4 linked regions of the Drosophila melanogaster genome follow. Changing the gene in region 4 together with the main gene of any one other region gives a genetic interaction. Each region holds a gene or a part of one and is shown on either strand. Other genes may lie near its edges. The genes, in order: Hsp83, lz, Gug and DnaJ-1.

Evidence for each region.
Region 1: of DnaJ-1 (region 4) and Hsp83, changing one suppresses a phenotype caused by changing the other (phenotypic suppression), as found in Drosophila melanogaster (one study listed by BioGRID).
Region 2: of DnaJ-1 (region 4) and lz, changing one suppresses a phenotype caused by changing the other (phenotypic suppression), as found in Drosophila melanogaster (one study listed by BioGRID).
Region 3: of DnaJ-1 (region 4) and Gug, changing one suppresses a phenotype caused by changing the other (phenotypic suppression), as found in Drosophila melanogaster (one study listed by BioGRID).

Annotation. Positions count from the first base shown.
Region 1 is NT_037436.4:3,191,095-3,197,563, reverse strand, and holds Hsp83 (heat shock protein 83), read right to left. Parts: upstream 4,596-6,469; 5' UTR 4,197-4,595; intron 3,066-4,196; coding exon 912-3,065; 3' UTR 505-911; downstream 1-504. Other genes in the region: CG14966 (uncharacterized protein), read left to right, coding at 44-466; CG14965 (uncharacterized protein), read left to right, coding at 5,134-6,469. UniProt on the Drosophila melanogaster protein: Molecular chaperone that promotes the maturation, structural maintenance and proper regulation of specific target proteins involved for instance in cell cycle control and signal transduction. Undergoes a functional cycle that is linked to its ATPase activity.
Region 2 is NC_004354.4:9,282,946-9,287,664, reverse strand, and holds the start of lz (lozenge), read right to left. Parts: upstream 3,017-4,719; 5' UTR 2,929-3,016; intron 1,879-2,928; 5' UTR 1,745-1,878; coding exon 883-1,744; intron 1-882. Other genes in the region: c11.1, read left to right, coding at 4,716-4,719. UniProt on the Drosophila melanogaster protein: Involved in prepatterning photoreceptor precursors in the developing eye; in the larval eye disk it defines a subset of cells as an equipotential group that is competent to respond to the sevenless developmental signal and another subset that confer proper photoreceptor identity by positively regulating the homeo box gene Bar.
Region 3 is NT_037436.4:8,448,051-8,452,922, reverse strand, and holds the start of Gug (grunge), read right to left. Parts: upstream 3,002-4,872; 5' UTR 2,466-3,001; intron 2,276-2,465; exon of another isoform or gene 2,236-2,275; intron 1,149-2,235; 5' UTR 795-1,148; intron 1-794. Other genes in the region: CG6983 (uncharacterized protein), read left to right, coding at 3,738-3,774.
Region 4 is NT_037436.4:5,749,522-5,754,022, forward strand, and holds DnaJ-1 (DnaJ-like-1), read right to left. Parts: upstream 2,669-4,501; 5' UTR 2,073-2,668; coding exon 1,068-2,072; 3' UTR 508-1,067; downstream 1-507.

The sequences.
Region 1 (6,469 bases), 2.6 Mb from region 4:
CATTTAAAAACACAAAATATTTAAAATAATTGCCAAGAAGCTAATGCGCCGCTTGTTTACATCGGTCAACGCCCAAATAATGTCGAAGAGCAAGGGGAAATCAAAGGCCGGCGTTGAAAGTGCGAAAAACGATGCAAAAGCGATGCCGGCTAAGGAAGCCAGTCCGATTTCAGTCGATAAGAGCGGCAATATATGCATACAAATCCTTGCCAAGCCGGGGGCTAAGCAGAACGGAATCACAGGAATTGGCTTTGAAGGAGTGGGCGTCCAAATCGCCGCTCCGCCCAGCGAGGGAGAAGCTAACGCCGAACTGGTCAAGTTTCTGTCGAAAGTTCTAGGTCTTCGAAAGAGCGACGTTTCTTTGGACAAGGGATCTCGATCGCGAAACAAGATAATAATGATAACCAAGGGAGTGTCCACGGTGGAGGCCATTGAGCAGCTGCTGCGCAAAGAATCCGATTCATAGATTGTTTATTCCCCCCAATAAATACTCGCTCAGAAGTTAGATTTTTAAAACACATTTGCTTGTTGTTTATTTGGTTTTATGTTTATCATCGATCGGGTCATCAAACCTTAATTATATATATACTCGATTCTTTATATAGCTCTACCAACTAGGGCGCGTATGTAGTCTTTAGTTTTTTACATAAATTACTTGGATTCTAAATTATAAGTTCTTAAAACGACAACTGCTCTTGAATGTTCTGTGAGAACCTAACCATTTAACGAGTTATTCCTGCTTTTTTATGAGTTAAGCGTATGTCTGTCGCTTATAACGCGGCAAAATGTTAATGAATACAAAATTTAACTCGGCCGTAGTAAACTCAGTATAAAAGTTCGAAACGCAAGTAAATTGTGTATGTGAATGCGAGTGATAGAATGAATTTTGGTTGTTTGTTTCGACTGGTCGCTTAATCGACCTCCTCCATGTGGGAAGCGTCCTCTGTGTCCTCAACCAGCGAGGGGGCATCTCCGGCGCTCTGGGCATCGTCGGTAGTCATAGGCTCGTCCTCGTCGATTCCCAAGCCCAGCTTGATCATGCGGTAGATGCGGCTGGCGTGCACCTGGGGGCTGTCCAGCGAGAATCCAGAGGACAGCAGAGAGGTCTCGAACAGCAGGATGACCAGATCCTTGACGGCCTTATCGTTCTTGTCGGCATCGGCCTTCTGGCGGAGAGTCTCCACAATTGGGTGATCGGGGTTGATCTCCAGCTGCTTCTTGCCGGCCATGTAGCCCATTGTGGCGGTATCACGCAGAGCCTGGGCCTTCATGATGCGCTCCATGTTAGCGGACCAGCCGAACTGCGAAGTGACAATGCAGCAGGGCGAATCCACCAGGCGGTTGGACACCACCACCTTCTCGACCTTGTTGTCCAGGATGGACTTCATCAGCTTGCACAGGCTCTCGAACTTGGCCTTGTCCTCCTCGCGCTTCTTCTTCTCGCTCTCATCCTCAGGCAGCTCCAGACCCTCCTTGGTGACAGAGACCAGCTGCTTGCCCTTGTACTCCTTCAAGTGCTGGATGACATACTCATCGATGGGCTCGGTCATGTAGACCACCTCGAAGCCACGGGCCTTGACGCGCTCCACGAAGGCAGAGTTGCTGACCTGGTCCTTGGACTCGCCAGTGATGAAGTACACGTGCTTCTGGTTATCCTTCATGCGCGACACGTAGTCGGCCAGGGAGCAGAAATCGTCGCCGGAGGCAGAGGTGTGGAAGCGAAGGAAGTCGGCCAACTTGGCACGGTTGTTGCTGTCCTCGTGCACACCCAGCTTCAGGTTCTTGCTGAACTGGTCATAGAACTTCTTGTAGTTCTCCTTGTCCTCGGTGAGCTCCTCAATCAGCTCCATGGTCTTCTTGACCAGGTTCTTGCGGATCACCTTTAGGACCTTGTTCTGCTGCAGCATCTCACGTGAGATGTTGAGGGGCAGATCCTCGGAGTCGACCACACCCTTCATGAAGTTCAAGTACTCTGGAATGAGGTCCTCGCAGTTGTCCATGATGAAGACACGACGCACGTACAGCTTGATGTTGTTGCGCTTCTTCTGGTTCTCGAAGAGATCGAAGGGCGTGCGACGGGGAATGAAGAGCAGAGCACGGAACTCCAGCTGACCCTCCACGGAGAAGTGCTTGACGGCCAGATGATCCTCCCAGTCGTTGGTCAGGGATTTGTAGAACTCGCCGTACTCCTCCTGGGAGATATCATCGGGATTGCGGGTCCAGATGGGCTTGGTCTTGTTCAGCTCCTCATCCTCAGTGTACTTCTCCTTGATGGTCTTCTTCTTCTTGGCATCCTTGTCCTTCTTGTCGGCATCCTCATCCTCGCCAACATCCTCGATTTTGGGCTCATCAGTCTCCATCTCCTTCTTCTCATCACCTTCCTTCTTCTCATCATCAGCCTCATCGTCGCTGACCTCCTTCTCGCGCTCCTTCTCTACGAGCAGCTTGATGGGGTAGCCAATGAACTGGGAGTGCTTGTTAACAATCTCCTTGATCTTGCTCTCCTCCAGATAGTCGGTCTGGTCCTCCTTGATGTACAGCACGATCTTGGTGCCACGGCCCAGGGGCTCAGAGTTGTCGGCACGGACTGTGAAAGAGCCTCCGGCAGAGGACTCCCACACGTACTGCTCGTCATCGTTGTTCTTGGAGGTGACAGTCACCTTGTCGGCGACCAGGTAGGCGGAGTAGAAACCCACACCGAACTGACCGATCATGGAAATGTCGGCACCAGCCTGCAGAGCCTCCATGAAGGCCTTGGTTCCGGACTTGGCAATGGTTCCCAAGTTGTTGACCAGGTCGGACTTGGTCATACCGATACCGGTATCAATGATGGTCAGAGTACCAGCCGTCTTGTTAGGGATCAGCTTGATGTACAGCTCCTTGCCAGAGTCCAGCTTGCTGGGGTCAGTAAGGGACTCATAGCGGATCTTGTCCAGGGCATCGGAAGCGTTCGAGATCAACTCGCGCAGGAAAATCTCCTTGTTCGAGTAGAATGTGTTGATGATCAGGGACATCAGCTGAGCAATCTCAGCCTGGAATGCAAAGGTCTCTGCTTCTTCTGGCATCTGCAATGGATTTACAAAATCATTAGGATTAGTTATAGTCTGTGGGTTCAACACTAAGGAAAAGCAGCTGCATTTTCAGCAGCTGCTCCGGTTTTATTCTTTTTCTTTCTTTCTCTTTTGCACATGCCTCATTTAACATGCGCATATACAAGTACAGTGGTGGTCAAAATTATAGCATTCACTTTGCAACCCGTAAAATGGAATTTTAATTTCAATTAGCCAACAGAATTGATTTTAAGTTGCAAAATAATGTTTTAAATTTAAATATTTAAATATAATTATGCAAATTGGGTCGGTTGATAATTTTTCTACCCCTGCTGTGTGCAAACTCGTGTCTGTGTGAGTGAGCATTGCATTGAAAATTCGTACTTCACCAAGGAAGTTTGTGGAAGCATCTAGAAGCCAAAGGAAAACTAATTCGCCTAGCAAGTTGCTAGTAGCAACCAACCAATTAAAATAGAGCAAATAGGATTAAAAAACCGATTTAACAGAATTTGCTTACTGACGCCACATTTTTACTTGAAAGTATTAGTCATGGGCGTGCATGTGTGCGTATGCGGCATGTGCAATTTAAAATGGGAATGCAAAGAAAGCACGTGTAATTGTAAATGAAGGACAGTAATTTATAATTAAAAAGCCTATTTGGCACGCTGTTTAATTCATGCTAAAGCATAGAAACCTCTAGAACATTCTCGAGCGGCAAATGTGATTTGCGCATTGTCACCCCCTAAAAAGAGCGGCATAATTCGATTTAGCGCTAAAAGACCATTGCATTAAACAAAAATTAATCTTGTATTCTATAAACCACATGTAATTGTAAATAAAGGACAGTAATATATAATTAAAAGGCCTATTTGGCACGATGTTTAATTCATGCTAAAGCATAGAAACCTCTGGAAGATGCGTCCAAGCGACAAAAAATAAAAGAAACCGGCATTTTGAGTTAATTTGCACGTTGCCACCTCTTAATTAATCAAAAAAAATTCTTAAACTTGGCTCCTAGAAATTTAAAATCAATATCTCACATTTGGGTCAAGAACATTCGAGATGCACAGGACCACGCAAAATGCACATTTTGGCCATAGCCACTGATAAACTATTCACTCTTTTCTTGTAATTTGCATTACTCACCTTGTATGTATGTTTTTCGTTCTATTCACAGAATAAAGGTAAAAATACAGATATTTTCACTTTGCTTTGTATAGAATTGGAAATTCACAAAACTTTTCAGACGCTGCTTGTTGTTACGACGCACACCGTACGAAATTTTTTTCAAGACTCGAACCGGCAAACGCCGCGCGTCTGCTTTTATAGAAAAACCCGACCCGAACTGGAAGTCTCTAGAAACTTCTAGAGGCTTCTGGATGCCAGGGATGCAACTTCCTGTGAATACTAGGGTAGATCAGTGTTGTGATACGGTCGAAAAGTGCGCAACCTGTGCGGGCGAATTCAAAAATTATACTGAACTAAGTTTGGTGGAAATTCGTCTAAGTGGTCCGAACGATTGAGCAAAGCCCACTGGGATTGCTTAAAACATTACAATTGGATATCAAAACGCCCACTAGGCTTATACTGTAATTAGGAAAATGGAAAATTTAATTGTTCCCAATATTATTTTACTTGTTTTAACAGTAAATAATAAACAAATCAGCTTATGACCTGTTAATTTTTATTTATATTTATGAATACTTTTCTCCACCAGACTATCGATATTTCCAGAGTTTCAGAGACTTGGTGGTGCAAGCTGGTTCCTCTGGAATAAACTAGTTCCATTTTAAGCGGACGGTAAAATTTGAAATCACTTGAGTGGGTTTGGGGAACAAAAATTGGAAAGTTTTTGTTGTAATTAGCTAAAAAGCAGACATTTCACATTCCGGAAAATAATTGCTTCTGTGCAAAACCTGCTACAAGCCCAGTCAAGTAAAAAATCTCTCATTAATTAAGAAGTGTCATATCGATCATTTGGTTTCGGTCAATTCTGTTATCGATGCCTCCCATCGATATCACCAGCTGACGCTAACACTTCCACCACTAATAACATAAAAGTTGTTTGCTTATATTTAAACAAATGGGCGGCACTAAGTGTTGTTTTCGTGATTGTCCGGTGGGTTCTAGCCGCAACCCCAATATGCACTTCTTCAAGTTCCCCGTTAAGGATCCGAAGAGGTTGAAAGATTGGGTCAGGAATTGTTCAAACCCTGACGTTTCAAATGCACCGCCGTCCAAACTGGCAGCCAAAACAGTTTGTGCCCGGCACTTTCGAGCGGAATGCTTCATGAACTACAAAATGGACAGACTCATCCCAATGCAGACGCCCACTTTGTTCAGGATCAACAGGGATCTGGCACTAGACTATGAAAATCTCGACCAGAACGGTGAAGCTCTTCTCGTGAAGTTGACGCCTCCAAAGCAGCAACACCTAATACCACCTAAAGATTTCGAGTGTCCTCTGGGATTCGTGGATGGTGAGACACAGAATTTGGATGTTGTTAAGAAACGAAATACAGTAGAGTTGACAGAAGAGGAGGAACCGCAAGGGAAAGACGAAGCCGACGAAGTGCTGGCTACGGAGCAGGAACAGCCGGTTGTACACACGGAGAAAACAACGGTGGCGCATAAGAGTTCTACAACATCAACAAGCGCTTCGGCTATGCCTCAAAACATTCTAGATATCATAAGTCAACTTCAGCCTTCATTGGGCATCAAATTGATTAAAAGACCAGTAAAGCGTCAATCAGGAAGCGAGAATGAGTTGTTTCAGCTTGAAGAGCAGCTCCCAAAAGAACAAACTGATGATACAAGCAAGATGCGAACAGTCACCAAGGAATCAGAAAAGCAAATTAAATCAAAAAGTTGTATTATTGACGTTATGAAAATGCCAAAGCTTGCCGATAAATGTCAAGAAAAGCAAGTGCCAACTAGAAAAGAGTACCGACCAATTAAAGGGACTGTGGTTAGAAAACGTGGGATGCAGGAGGCAGATGCTGATAGACTGAACGAAGATGAATCCACCAAGGAGCAGGCTAAGAAAAGGAAGCTACCCCAAGAAGCACAAAAGACTGACTCCCACGCTTCACCTGAGAACGGTACGATATTGAACCGATATACACAATTGCAAGAGAAATTCTGGGATGAGCAGAAGACTCCGATGTTGGAGAAACCCACCCAATCCATCCAAATTAATCTTAGTTCTAGCAAAGAAAATAGTCAGAGTGATTCCATTTCCGAAACCTTATCTGAATCTTTTCTAAACCTTGAAGAGAACATACCACTTAGTACTGACAGTGAGGACGAGTCTGAACCAGATGAAAAACCATCTTCATCGGAAGATGCCCATCGCGATAAGCTTCTTCAGGAGTACGATAAACTGCAGGCCGAGTTTGAAAAGCTGTCTGAGGAGAATG
Region 2 (4,719 bases), on a different chromosome or scaffold from region 4:
AATTCGATATGAAGGCTATCCATTGAGCACAAGTTATGAAAGGACTCAGAAGTGAAAAAAAAAATCATATAGGATAACCAGTTTGCGGATTCCCCAGCTAATTTCAAGACTGACGGTGCGATGAGCTGAGATTTCATTAGCAGCTTTCGCTCTGGGTCATTGATATCATTGATAAATCGGGAGGAAAGTTCAACGGGCAGCAAGGAATAAGAAAAAAAAAAAAAAGGTGGCATTAACAAAATAAAAAAGGGGAACGACTCGTGCGTTGATATCAATAACAATTATTGATATCAATTTACGCATATTCCGACGGCGATGCCAGTCCCATCTTCACTGGCATCACCATCATCATCGCCATCGGTATCATCATCACGATCATCATACCCATGGAATCCGATAAGGCTGCGTCCGATGATCGTGATTGCCACGATGTGGAAGCCCCAGAAGTGCATTGTGCAAGGATGTGGCAAGAATGTGCGCTCCACCTTTCGGGGATCGGATTATCGAACAGACCTGCAAAGCATCCACCAGATCCCCTCGACACGAGCTAAAGATGCTGATACCTTGTGAATGGAAGAGCTGTCTCCGCAGAGGCTTGCCTTGATATATATATCTATCTATCAATCTTATATTCATAAGATATATTATATCAAGAACCATAGATCATATTGGGAATCTGGTAGCAAAGAATTTGCTATTTACAGTTAGTAAGCTAAATCCCTCTGTTCAATCAATTTTGTTCACGGGAAATTACAAATCCAGTTAGACTATATCTTCATATTCACTTTGATTTTGAAGGACATTAAGGTAGCTATTAATCCTTAACCCTTTTGCAGACTGTGTTACTACTAGGTTATTGGTAATATCCCACCAACAACTCACCCAATTCGCCGGGATGTTCCTGTTGTCGCTTCTGTACCAATCGCTCCATCCACAATAGATCCTGGTGAACGGCGTTGTTATTGTTGCTATTGCTATTGCTGGCACCGTTGTTGTTGTTGTTGCTGGCGGTACTACTGCTGTGACCGCCGGTGTGTCCACTATGCCCACTATGGGCTGTACCATTGCTGGCGCCACCTGTGGGCGAGCTGCTGCCAACACTGGCACTACTCGAAACGGCCAAAACCTCAGCGGCTGTGGCGCCCGTGGATGCAGTGGCGCCCTGGGTGGCACCACCTACGCCGCCGCCAGTGGCCGTCGCCACCGCTGTGATGCCCTTGAAGTCGCCGGTGGAGCTGCTCCAGCCGTTGCCCGTCGGCGATGTGGATGACGATGTGACCATGGCCGGCGGATGTGGTCCTGCCGGCGGATACGGATACGGTGGGTGGTGGTGGTGGTGGTGGTGGGGCGCGTGCGGATGCGGTGGGTGGTAGGGGTGGGCGTGGTGGTACGGTGAGTAGTGGTGGTGCAGGTGGTGATGGTGGTGGCTGCCGCCGCTGCCGTTGATGCTGCGACCCAGGCGGCCGGGACCGGCAACGCTGACGGGCGCCACAGTGGTGCTGTGGTCCGCCACCAATTCCTGGCCCAGTCCCAATCCCAAGCCCAGTCCCAATCCGAGTCCGAGTCCGTATCCGGAAGCCAATGGCAAGCCCAGCTGCAATTGCGATTCCGTTTGCGATGCCAAGTCCAATTGCGACTCCCCAGCAGCGCCCGTATGCCCAGATGGAGATGCTGATGGAGTTGGAGTTGGATTTGGAGATGGAGATGGAGGCGTCTTCTCTGCCGCCAGGAGATGCAAATGCATTCGTCGACGGCGGTGACCTTTGATCCGCTCGCTTGCCCCTTTTTTTCTTGCAGTGTGTGCGGGTCGCAGGTCAAGCGCTTATCACACTTCGCTCCGGCGGTGTCTTTTGTTCACTCATCAATAAACTCTAATCTCTAAACGAATTCACAGAAAAAAAAAAGCGTACTTAACAATTGTTTGCAATTGCACTTACGATATGAGAAAGATTCGTGTTTAATTGAAAACTTAAAATGCCGATCGATTCATTAAAAACAATCCATGACAACATCTCAAATTTGTTTCATATTAAGCAATTTAATTAAAGTACATATAGAAACAGTTCACTGGCGTACGTTTAAATAAAGAAATAATTGCAAAAAACAATATATATAAATTTAAAAAATGATTAAAAATATGTTTGCCTTTCTGAATACATATTAAATAACTGCGAGTACTACGACGATCGACATTTTGCTAGTTCGCACTTTGATAAATTAGTCACAGGAATTAGCGGTGCATTTGTTGCTATTGTTGTTTTTTCTTTCTCTTTTTTGAGCATGCTTTTGCCAGATGATTTCTGAACTTAATTAAATTTGATTTCGTTTGATTTGGATATTTTTATTGTTTGCACTTCACTCGGCTAATTAGTAATACTCTATGTTTGACTCCCGATTCGCAGACGGGCCTCCTTTTCTCGAGTTTAACTTTGATGATATTTCTGGGAATCGGTGTAAAAACAATATAGTACAATATAAACATTTAATGTTCACAACTGATCTCCCAAGTAATCATAAATGGTTGTAAAAGAGTCAGTTATTTGTTTATTCAAACAATGTATAAGAAGCTTTTACAATTACTATTGTATATTATTTGTTTGAGAACAAGCAACAAAGTAAACAAATTATTTCACAGTCGCAAAATAAAGCCTTAAAAAATATGAACTTAAGTTTTTGTCATAAAAACATTGCCTTAATTCGTTTGTGTCACCATTTATCACTTTTATTTTGTTACTAACTGCACTTAATAGCACTTTGGTTTGTGTTTAGTTTAATGTAAAACTGTTTAACAATATGTTTGAATGCAAGTTTCTGGCGAAACTGTGTCGCTCTTTTGTTTAAATTTAGTTGGTGACGAAATTCGAGTTAATAACTAAAAGTTAGCCGATTTTGGCGCGCTTTTTGTTTACTACTTTGTTTAACACTTACACACACACTTAGTTTACTTTCTTCGGTATTTCTTTAAGTGACTTAAGCACAAGTTACAAAAAAAAAGGGTTAACACGTAAGCGAGGTGTTATTTTCTTGTGTTTCTTTCAGTCGATTAAAAACTTCGCTAACAATGGAAACAATAATGCTCGCGCGTCGTACTCCAAAACATAACTGAAACTGACTTTTAACTTTTGACTGCGCCGCTTGAATTTCGCGAGACGATTGAGCTCGGCTCTGAGTCGAATCCAATCGTTTTTCCACTTGCCTCGCGAGCCAATTGGAACGAGAACGACTCTCTTTGGCCGGGGCGTTTTGGGTCTCTTAAGTTGCTCGCTCTCTCTCTCTCTCTCTCTCTCTTGCTCTTCTGTAAATGCATGGCCTAGTATGTGCATTGTGACAAGTCACCATTCCACGCAGTGCTGTTGCATCAAATTTTTAATAAATTTCGCTAAAAATAATAGAATTTAAATGCTTAATCAAATAAACAGTTGCTCTCCCTCTCGCTCGCTCCTGCGTTTCCCTTGCACTTGGCACCGCCCCCGGATTCTGATTGGTCAGGTGGACATGGCATTTGAGGCGCGCCATTGGTGGACACATTTTCATCCACCACCGGCTGCAACCACTTCCAATTGGAATCGCATTTAAGCGCGCTCTCTTTAATCAGCTGAGAGCGTGACGACTTAAGAGCGGCGCTCTTGTTCAGCCGGGAAATTTCGAAAATATTTAGGAGCTGGATATGATTAGATTTTCATGAGAAAATAAATAAGTTGTGTTTTTTTTTTTATTATTTTATTTAAAATTTAACATACATGTATTTAAAACGCACTTATGGAAAATTGTATTCATATAGATACATTTTGGATATTAGAGATGAAAATCAGAGAATCTACTTTAAAACTGATACTTAACATGCTTATCAAATCTGCTATTATCGCAAAAAGTGTTAATTAAAAACTGTGTGTTGTTGCTAGCGCAAAGAAAACAAGGATTCCAAATGACATGTGTTCTTTTTAGCGAAGGAAAGGCGTGATAAGAGACTATCATTGGGCCATATTTTGTGGTTCAGCCTTGGTTTGTGGTCGAAATACTGATATCGAATTAAAATAACAACGCAGAGTTCTTATGATTTTAAAAAGTGTTTATTTTAAATTTACCTCCGACTTATCACATCGAAGGGAAATAGTTCTTATCGCTGGGAATATAATAGCGTGAGAAGAACGTCAGCTTATCTGCGAGGGCAGAAATTGCGAGAAAATCAAATGTCTATGCTATTTAATTTCAGAAGTGCTATCAAGTGATTAAAATTAAGCATTTCAATTGCTCTCAAATACTTTCAAAACTACCTCAAAAGCGTTTTTTCCTTTAATATTGTATTAGTATGCTGTACTGCCTGTGTAGCTTAAAATTTAAAATTTACTTAATTGCTAATTCCGTATAATAAAACGAGACTGTATGCATAACTATTATTTTATACACAGTACATTTGAATTTCATTTTTATGGTCATCTATGGTTTGCGCCACCACTGAACAGTGAGGGCACACACCATGTTCGGAAGCCCAACTAGTCCATGGTGTTGATAAAAAACGTACTAAAATTTCCACAGCCGTTTTTCCCCTATGTGAGTGCAGCCACCCGTTTTAAACACAAACAATTTCGCAACGCAGTGAATCTCTTGTTTTTCCGAGTTTTTCCGCGATCGCGAAGTGCGCGTTAAAGTTAATCGCTGTCTGAAATCCCGTTAAGCTGGAGAAGTGGAAGAGAACGCGCAATTCCACCAAGAAGATGG
Region 3 (4,872 bases), 2.7 Mb from region 4:
CATGGCACTTCATTGGAAGAGATAAAGAGATCCGTAAATCCCCCATGAACAATGCGTAAAATTGCGTATCATATGACCTGGTAATCCCTCATTAGCTCTGATTTAATCCTGCACCATATTGCTTGTATAACAAGTGACCTACAATAGCTACAATACAAATTAATCTATTTAACTAGATGTGGCCATAAAACGATGACACTATAAATACAAAATGGCAGCTAATCAATATTATCTTTATTTAAATTGATAAACATATAGAGGACAACCAAAACTAGTTTTGATAGATTCATATAGTTATTAACAAGTGGAATATTTTCCAACAATGCGCTAAAGAGTTTCTAAACTGTCTGATCCCGGTCAACCCTTTTTTTTTTCATTCCGAACAAGGGTGTACTAATTGGCCTACAAGGCAACTCATTAGCAGTATACAAGTGCGGCGATAAAGATCTGTTTCAGTGGGTTTAGGGTATGTGTAAGCCTTATCATCGATCTAATCGCAATTCCCCCTAAATACCACCAGCCCACAAAATGAACACCACAAATCCGAATATGAGCGACAATAGCAAAGCAACGGATTAGGGGCACGCGCCCCCCGGTTTTCTAATTGCTTTGGGATACCATTGGAAAATAGTTTCCTCCATTAGCCGAGTGGAAACCCTTCGGCACAATGAACAAGCAACCCCATCGAGGGGATGTGACACATGAGACGGGGGCCAGCGTGAAGTATCGAATTAAGCAAACAAATAATTATAATTAAATGTGTGCGCCGGGCTCGAACAGATGTCTTGGCTCACCATGAATCCGTAGTCGGGGTTGTGTATCGTCGAGGCGTCCCGCACGAAGATGCTCCTCTCTCCAGCAGCAGGCGGCAAAGTAACTCCGGTCTACGGTCTCCGTCTCCAGATTCCAGACTCCAAGTTGCTGAGGATGATGATGATGATGACGACGATGGTGATGTGGTGCTGTGTCGATGGATTTTCAAAGGGGGTGGGCGGCGGTCGTGGTGGTTCTTGTTGCTTTGCTCCTGTTGTTCTTGATATTGTTGTTCCTGCTGTTGTTATTGGTGTTGTTGTTTTTGTAGTTGTTGCTCAGCGAGGAGGCAGCGAGTAGCCGGAAATGTATATTTCGGTTAATTTGCACAAACACAGCTGGAAGGCGAAGAGATGACGTAGGTGAGAGCCGAGACGATGGAGATGATTAAGCGAAAGAAAAAGAAAATGAAAGAACCAAACAGAAGAATTGAGCAGCTGGGGCGCAAGGAGCGCCCTGCGAAAAAACAATGCCCCACTAGCGATACTACTACCAAAAGCAGTCGCCAAATGAGGCCATAGAACTTGGCAATTTTATACGTTAGCTATTTGCATAGCATAGTTGAAATCCTATGTACCTGGTTTTGAGTTGAGAACTTTTAATTACATAATAATGTGACCCATATTCTTTGATCCTTTCCTTATTAAATTTTATAAACAATGTAAACCAGGCAGACCTATGTTCAAAACATCTGTAATAATAATAATCAATCTATCTATCTATTTGGACTGTATAATATTGAATAACAATAGCTATCAGAAAATCTTTAGTACCAAGATGACATATCTAAGTAAGTCGTAGTAGTCCATATCAATAGTACTATTAGTACGGGGAATAACGCCAGTTATAGCGATATTTTTTATAATCTATTGCCAATAAATACAATTCCAAACACTTCTCTAGCATTAATAGTGGGTAAGTACATATTTTAGCTTATTTATCAGCCAGCAAAAAGGCAACAAGACACATTTTTCCGACAACGTCAGCAACAGCAATTGACTGAGTGGAAGAAGAAGAAGAAGAAGCACGGCCAGCAGGAGCGGTCACAGGAACAGGGAAGGGCGGTGTGGGGGGGGGGGGGCTTTACAGGAATGGGGTTAGTCCGAGGCAGGAGCATCCTTGGGGGGTGGTGGGTGCGCTGGCCGCAAGAGCGTCGCGTTGCGTCGCGTCGGTGGTGACGCCGACGATAACAACAACAACAACAACAATAACAAAGGGGCAACAACGGTGGTGGGTTGCTGCTGTTGTTGCTTGGCCTGTTTTTGTTGTTTTAGTTGCTGCCCGTGCTGCTGACGCTTGGATTTTTGCTTTGTTGTTGCTGCTGCTGCGCTTGCGATTCCTTTTCAGCAAATTTGTTGAGCCTTCGTTCGTGTTTGCATTGTTCTACCCCAAAAAGTTCATAATAGACTGGATTCAAACACCCACCCATCCGTCGGTCACCCTTTCAAAAACTGCGGGGGGGGGGGGGGGGATACGCCACTGTTTTCTCTGTTTTACTGTTTTTCGTTATTTTTTTGTTTTTTGTTTTTTGCTGCCCGAAAGACTTCACATAAATTTGAATGATTTGCACGCTGCGCAACTGCGATTCCAAATTAAATTAGTGACACACTTAGTAATAATTAATTTTCGCACACTTGTTGTAGATTTTTCCTTACGTTTCGCTGCTTGCTTGTTGTTGCTTTTTTTTTTATTGCTGCCGCTGCTGCCAAGTGTTGTTGGATTTTGTTGTTGTTGCTGTTGCTGCTTTCTGGTGTTTTTGTTGTTGGGCGCGCGTGAAACTCGTCGTACGCTTTTTTTTAATGCTCTTCTTCGTTTCTCTTCTTCTTTTTTTGCATACACTTTGCGCACACACACACTGACAGAGAGGCACACTCGCACACACAGGCACAGACAGAGAGCAGCGCACACAGACGTACACTCGAACACACACACACACAGGCACGCACTTTGGTTGCTTGCTTGCGTTTTTTTTATTGCCTGCCTTCGCTTTCAGTTATTTTCACTGGGTTCTTGTGCGATTTTCGGTTGCTTTTTCGCGGAATTTTCAGCCACACGGCGCAGCCAGCGTGGTTGCGAATGTTTTCGCCAGCAAATTACAATAATTGGCTGGCCAAGATGCGTGCTTTTTGTTAAAAATCGCCACTACGAATTTCTCCGCGAAGAAGCCACCATTTTGTAAAAATATATACTTTGCGGGGTCTGGCAAGGCTGGCGGTGGCAGAGTGGCAGCATTGCTGGTGGTCATGTGCTAAATAAGCCAGCAATTGTTGTGTAGCCAACAGCTTTCGTTGGTGAGCACTCGTAAGTTTGTCTTTTGAAATGGTAATTTATTTGTTTAAACAAGACTTAAAAACTTCTAAAGCATATGTTAAAAAAATAAATGATATATATTTAAACATTAATATATGGCTAACAGCTGTGTTTCAGATTTTCTATGAAATTTAATACGATGAAAGTTGGAGTTTAATTGGTTAACAGTCGATCTATATTAACAGTTTGTCGCAGCATATTGTGGGCTTACTTTAAAAATAAATTGCTTAATTTTCGTCCTAATAGGCGAAAAATTCGATTCCACAAACTTATATTTAATTTTTAAAAATCCAACTGATTGTAAAATATCCCTATTGTAAATTAACATTTCTGTTAGAACAGTGAACAAAAGCGCCATTTCGGCAGAAGCGACTATCGACTCTGCGCCTAACATCGATAGCCACAAGAAATCTACCGACGCACCACCACTATTGTTTATTTTGTTTTTCGTCGTTTTTGGATTCTGATTTAAATCACCTCGCTGCGAAAATCGGGAAATTCTAAAGAAGCGCGTCGTCTGTTTAAATTCTGAGGGTTCGCAAAATCGCTGGCATTTAACACTACCACCAAAAAAAAACCAAAACAAATCAAGAGCTGCGAATCTACGGATCCTCAAAATGTGCGACGAGTCCATTGAAAATGTGGAGCATCAAGGTAAAAATTAGTAACTCCGATTCCCGATGTTATTTGCCCAACTCATTTGTTTGGCCATTAAGTAGCGCCCAATATTTGCATAGAAACCAGCTCAAGTGCGTTAAAATATCATTAGGAAAAGGCGGCGGTGGGGGGTGTAGATTCTTTGGTTGATGGTAAAAAAAGGGTAAGTGGGGGTAATTGCGCGTGGATTTTGGCGATTAATTCGGTTTAATTGGAACAGAAAGAATGAAAAGAGTGAGCTAAATTTAGGCAAGTCAGGCCACTCGAGGGAATCGCTTGTTGTTTGCTGACCTTTTCTGCAAATCAGGACAGCTGCACTTCTTAGCGCAGAAACCAACATGCAGCTGGGAATGCACTGAAAAAAAGTGGGGGAAATAAGTCTGATTATATATGTGATACATTAAAAGTGTAACTTTGAGTGAGTAAGCGTAAGAGTAAGTGTATGTGTGCACGAGTGTTTTGGCCATTTCCTTCCCGTTCACTTCACACATTCGATTTCCGCCAATTGTTGTTCTTTGACCTCTTCTTCCTGCTTTTCTGTCGCAATATTAAAAATAATATTTGTTCATGGCCATAGCTAAGCCAATTTCGACCACCTACCGCCCACTTTTGTTGGCCACCGCAATCGATGGTTTTCCATTTTCCATTTTTACCATTTCGCCGACTTTGTCGCCATTCGCGTGACTTCAATGGGTTTCGCTTATCGCTTTTCAAACGGCGCTCGACCCGAGTTTTTATCAGCCTGTTGCAGCCTGCTTAAATTGTCTTAGATTAATTTTAATTTATGATCTCCTGACAGAAGTTAATGAATTGTGGCCAGCAAGCAGCGTATGGAAAACGAAAATAGTTTTCATTTCGCGCTTCACACACTTTCTTCATCAATTAGCGGCTATCAGAATTTTTTTTTTTTTTGTTTTTGAGCGGCAGTTTCAAGTGGCAGTTATATTCGATCCATTTTGGTGAATAATAAAATTATTGCGAAAGCAAACACGAAATGCTTAAACGTGATTAACAGATCTTTAGAATTATTATACTATTGTTTTTTTATTATTATTATTTTTTGCTTACCTAATGTGCATGTTTGTTTGTATAGTA
Region 4 (4,501 bases):
AATTGCAAATGCAACTTAACACTCAACATAAGGATAGTGAAAATGTGTGACAAATGATTAAATTACGAAATCCTTTTGAAGAGAAAACAAATGAAAATAAAATGTGAAATTTAAAATAAAATTAACATGGAATTTCTTTTTATTGATTCTCTTTTTGGCTTTCGGGGATTTCAGGTTTTGGAAAAAGGATTTTAAACAACGATTTTATTTTAAATTTCATCTTTTCCACTCGACGTTTTAAACAAACGTTGCCAGTGATGCCAGATGGTTTTTGAAATGTAACACACGATCTATACACGCCAGGTGGCGTGTTGCCCTCTGGAAGTTTCCACATGTGGAGACTTTTGAATTGTTTGGCGCGCTAGTTATATATATTTAAAAATAGAAGAAATTGCCAGCAATACATGTTGTTTTGGTTTTAGCCACCACATTTTGATTGCCACCACGTGAAATCTAGCAATTTCTATAATGCTTGCAACCCACTGACCCAGAAACGACACTTGATGTGTGTATAAGTAATTTTATTGTTTATAACATAATAGAATTGGTACTAAAACGTACTATGTCCTTACGGCGTATAAATCTATAAGTGTTCTACTAACTGATGTAACCTCCCCGTGTTGGAATGCCGAAAATGTGCTTTGCTTGAAAAATGGTTAGTTACTTTAAATTTATAATACCTCATTTATTTAATATTTTGTTTTGGGATTATTATGTATAAGATGTTGAGGCACCGATTCATGTGGCGGTAAACAAAACAACTTATGGAATTTGTGTAATGCTAAATAGCTAATAATCGATCAGTCTCCAACACGAAACGGGCTACACGGGCTGCTTTATGTGTGTGTGTGTGTGTGTGTTGTTCTCTTTCCTAATCCTATCCAGCGCTTGCATCCTCGGCCAATATCTACAGCTCTTCGCTTGGCACACTCACTAGCTTAGGGCTACAATTGGTTAGGCTAAGTTGTCTTACGAGTACGTACGGTAAATTAAATATAGGCCTTAACTAAAGTGATAACAATTATATGCGTGTGTGTGTGTGTGTGTGTGGCTGGCACAGCTCTAGCCTAGTTGGGCAGCAGCTCGGACAGCTGATTCTGCAGACTGGGTGCCAGTGTGTCGGGAAACTTAATGTCGAAGGAGACGATCAGATCGCCGCGCCTCGATGGCTCCTTGGGCACCGGCAGACCCAGTCCGTTGATCCGGCGCGTTGTGGTGGGCTTGATGATCTCGTGGTTCGGATTCACCTGTATCCTGCTGCCCTGCAGCGTGGGCACACTAACCAGTGCTCCGCACAAGGCCTGCTTCAGACTGATCTGGGCTGTATACTTTAGATCGATTCCCTCGCGTTTGAACAGCGAATGCGGTTTGTCGCGAATGATGAAGACGATGTCAGCTGGCGTCTTGTTTGGCGCCGAATCACCCTCTTGGGGGAAGGTAATCTTGGTACCGGCCTTCCAGCCCGGCTTCACTGTGATCCTCAGCACCTTCTCCTCCTTGTACGGCCCATTGCTTCCGGTGGCCATGCGTGAGATTTTCATCTTCTTGATGCATCCCTTGTCCACTTCCTCCAGCGACACGAACAGATCATGCTCGATGGGCGGATCCTGCTGGCGCTTGCGACTGGGTGCCTGGGCATTAAAGGCAAACATATCGTCGCCGCCAATGTTCCAGAAGATCTCGTTGGTATTGCCGCCCTGACCGCCACTAAACATGTTATCGCCGCCGGTAAAGAACGCGCCAAACGGATCCGACGATCCAAAGAACTGGGCAAATGTGGCCCTCGGATCGCCGTGGAACTGGTAAGTGTACGCTCCCGGCTGACCGCCGCCATCTGGTCCCGGCTGTCCGCCCTTCAATCCATCCTCACCGTAATTGTCGAAGATGTCGCGCTTCTTTTTGTCCGACAGCACCTCGTACGCCTCGGCGATCTCCTTGAAGCGCTCCTCCGCCTGTGGGCTCTTGTTCTTGTCGGGATGGTATTTGAGTGCCAGTTTGCGGTAGGCCTTCTTGATCTCATCGTCGCTGGCCTTGCGCTCGAGGCCCAGAATCTTGTAGAAGTCTTTGCCCATCTCTCAGCTGAAAATATAGGGGAAACACAAACGAACGAACGCTATAGATTAGAATGAATACTGATTGCCAGCTTGCTGGGTTGGGGCGATGGAAAGTGCTAGAAGCACAGAACAGCACAGTTGTGCAACTGCCGTGTTGTCACGCGAGTGACGTATGTAGTCACCATCAACGAGAGCTCCGCTCCCGATGTGCTTCTTTCAGCAGATCAAATCGATGCGCCCACATGTGGCAATATGTCCAACGAAGCTTACCTTAAATGTAAGCGATTGTCTGGGAATCCGTAAAAGTTCAAAAATCCAAGTGGAAAAGTGCAAAATGCAATGGCAAAGTGCAATTGTTGGTATTGTTCACTGTGTATTCACACTATTTATATTTTCACGGGGCAATGTTCTTTAAATATTTATGAGTTTTGTCTCTTTCTCGCAATTGATTCAATTCAATTGTTCTTCTTCGCTTTTTTCTTTATCCACCAAATGTGGCTTGCGCACTAAAAACACACCCTACTTCAGAGTTTCTTTCTCTTCAAAATTTTGTTTAATAATGAGCGGGATTCGTGCGTCAACCTCATTTTATAGGTTCGCCCTCGTCTACGTCGAAATTTCTGGATGCTTCTCGGATTTTAGGGTTGTATCTCGAAAACGTTTGACTGCGAATGTCAATATCGATATGCTAACCGATAGCTGTCGATGTTTTAAACACAGTGCACTGTTTTTAAATCGCTCCCCATTTATATATATTTGTGCATGCTTTTGGCGGTGACTCTTCTTTATATGCTTCTTATGCTTTTACGATTATTATTAGCGCTTATTTGATTGCAAATGCCAAGGAAAGCGTGACTGTGATGGCGAAATGCGGAAAGTACTCCTTAAATCTCATATATCGCATAAAACTATCGGTTCTGGAATGTTTCGTGTAAGTCTGCGAAGATAGAGATCGATCTATTTTGAGGATACATTTGTTAATATTATAAGGGATTCTTCTACAGGGGTCAGATTGCTTAAAAACACACAGAAAAATAAACAAAATATTTCTTTGAAATATTGAAATATTTGAAATAGAAAAAACGTATTGACGAGGTAAGCATATTGTAAAAAGATAGGAAGGTGATGGAGAAAGTTGCACTTATATTGTTCAACCAAAGAGCTTATAATCAAAAGATCAATAGATATAAATATCTTTATATGATATAAAATATAATACATATAATATATTATAATATACAATGTATAAATTGCAAGTGTCAAATTGAATTCTTAGTGTAATATTCAAGCCAACGAAAAGTAACTGAAAGTTGAAATAAATAAATTTTTAAACTTTGCCAGTGTGACCGTAAGACCAAGACTTGGGCATTGCCACAGCTGCAATGCGTTTAGTATTTTACAGTCAGCGGCGGGCAGTCACACCGGAACGAGCACGTCTGGTAAAACAGCCGAACGGAACAACAAAAAACAATTGTAAAAATGACCCGTCGAGGCTCGTTTTAAGCGAATTTCTAGCGCAGTCAGGACGCAGGAGCAGCCGAGCAGGCCGGGATTAGGACCGGAGGAGCAGGATCATCGGGAGAGTAGAGCCGAAACCCACACTCACACACAAACGCAGCCGTATACCGCAGTATTTTCATACACACACACACACTTGAGGTGAGTGAGACGGAGGTACACACACATGCACACATACAGAGAGAAGAAAACAAGGCGCCCCACGAATTTTTGCAAAATATGGACGCGCCTTGCTAGGGACTAATTGCCAGCGCGAAGGACAACCATTGGGGCCACTTTTTGGGCCAAACTCCGGCCGACATATGCGTGTCACGTTCCACAGTCGAAGCCTTGACCGATCGCCCCGCCCACCGTTCACCGCCCCATCGCTGGAAGTATTGCGCAAACGAATGTGACCCTTAACCCTTGCCCCCCCCCCCCCTTCCACAAAGAATATCCTTTGGCATGGCGCCTGTTCAAAGGATGTCCCACTGCAGCAATGCAGCATTGTAGCAGCGACGGCAGACCCATAAAAATAGTCATTCATTCCCGCAAATAGAGAGCTGGCACATCGAAGAGAGCATACGGTCGACATTAATAGCACTTTCGCTGTAAACCCAAACATATCGCCTATATTCATTGAGTAATCCGTCTGGGTTCTAGGGACCCAAAAGTTCCCCCCAGTGAAATACCCACCCACTGCATTGTGCGGCGATAATCGTTATCAGTTGCAACTCGTGAGTGGTCATTGATATTCGCAAAAGGCAACTGGACAATGTTTGATTGTTATCAGACCCCTGATTGTAACCCAGTCAATAGCTTACATTACTCCCCATTATCCTGTTATTTGTTTAAAACAAGTGGCTTGGGTACTGTTGCAATCCGTGTATCTGTATTCATGTTCTTATCGCACCCCGAAGTTATAGAAGCTATATAAAAGTATTGTTTTC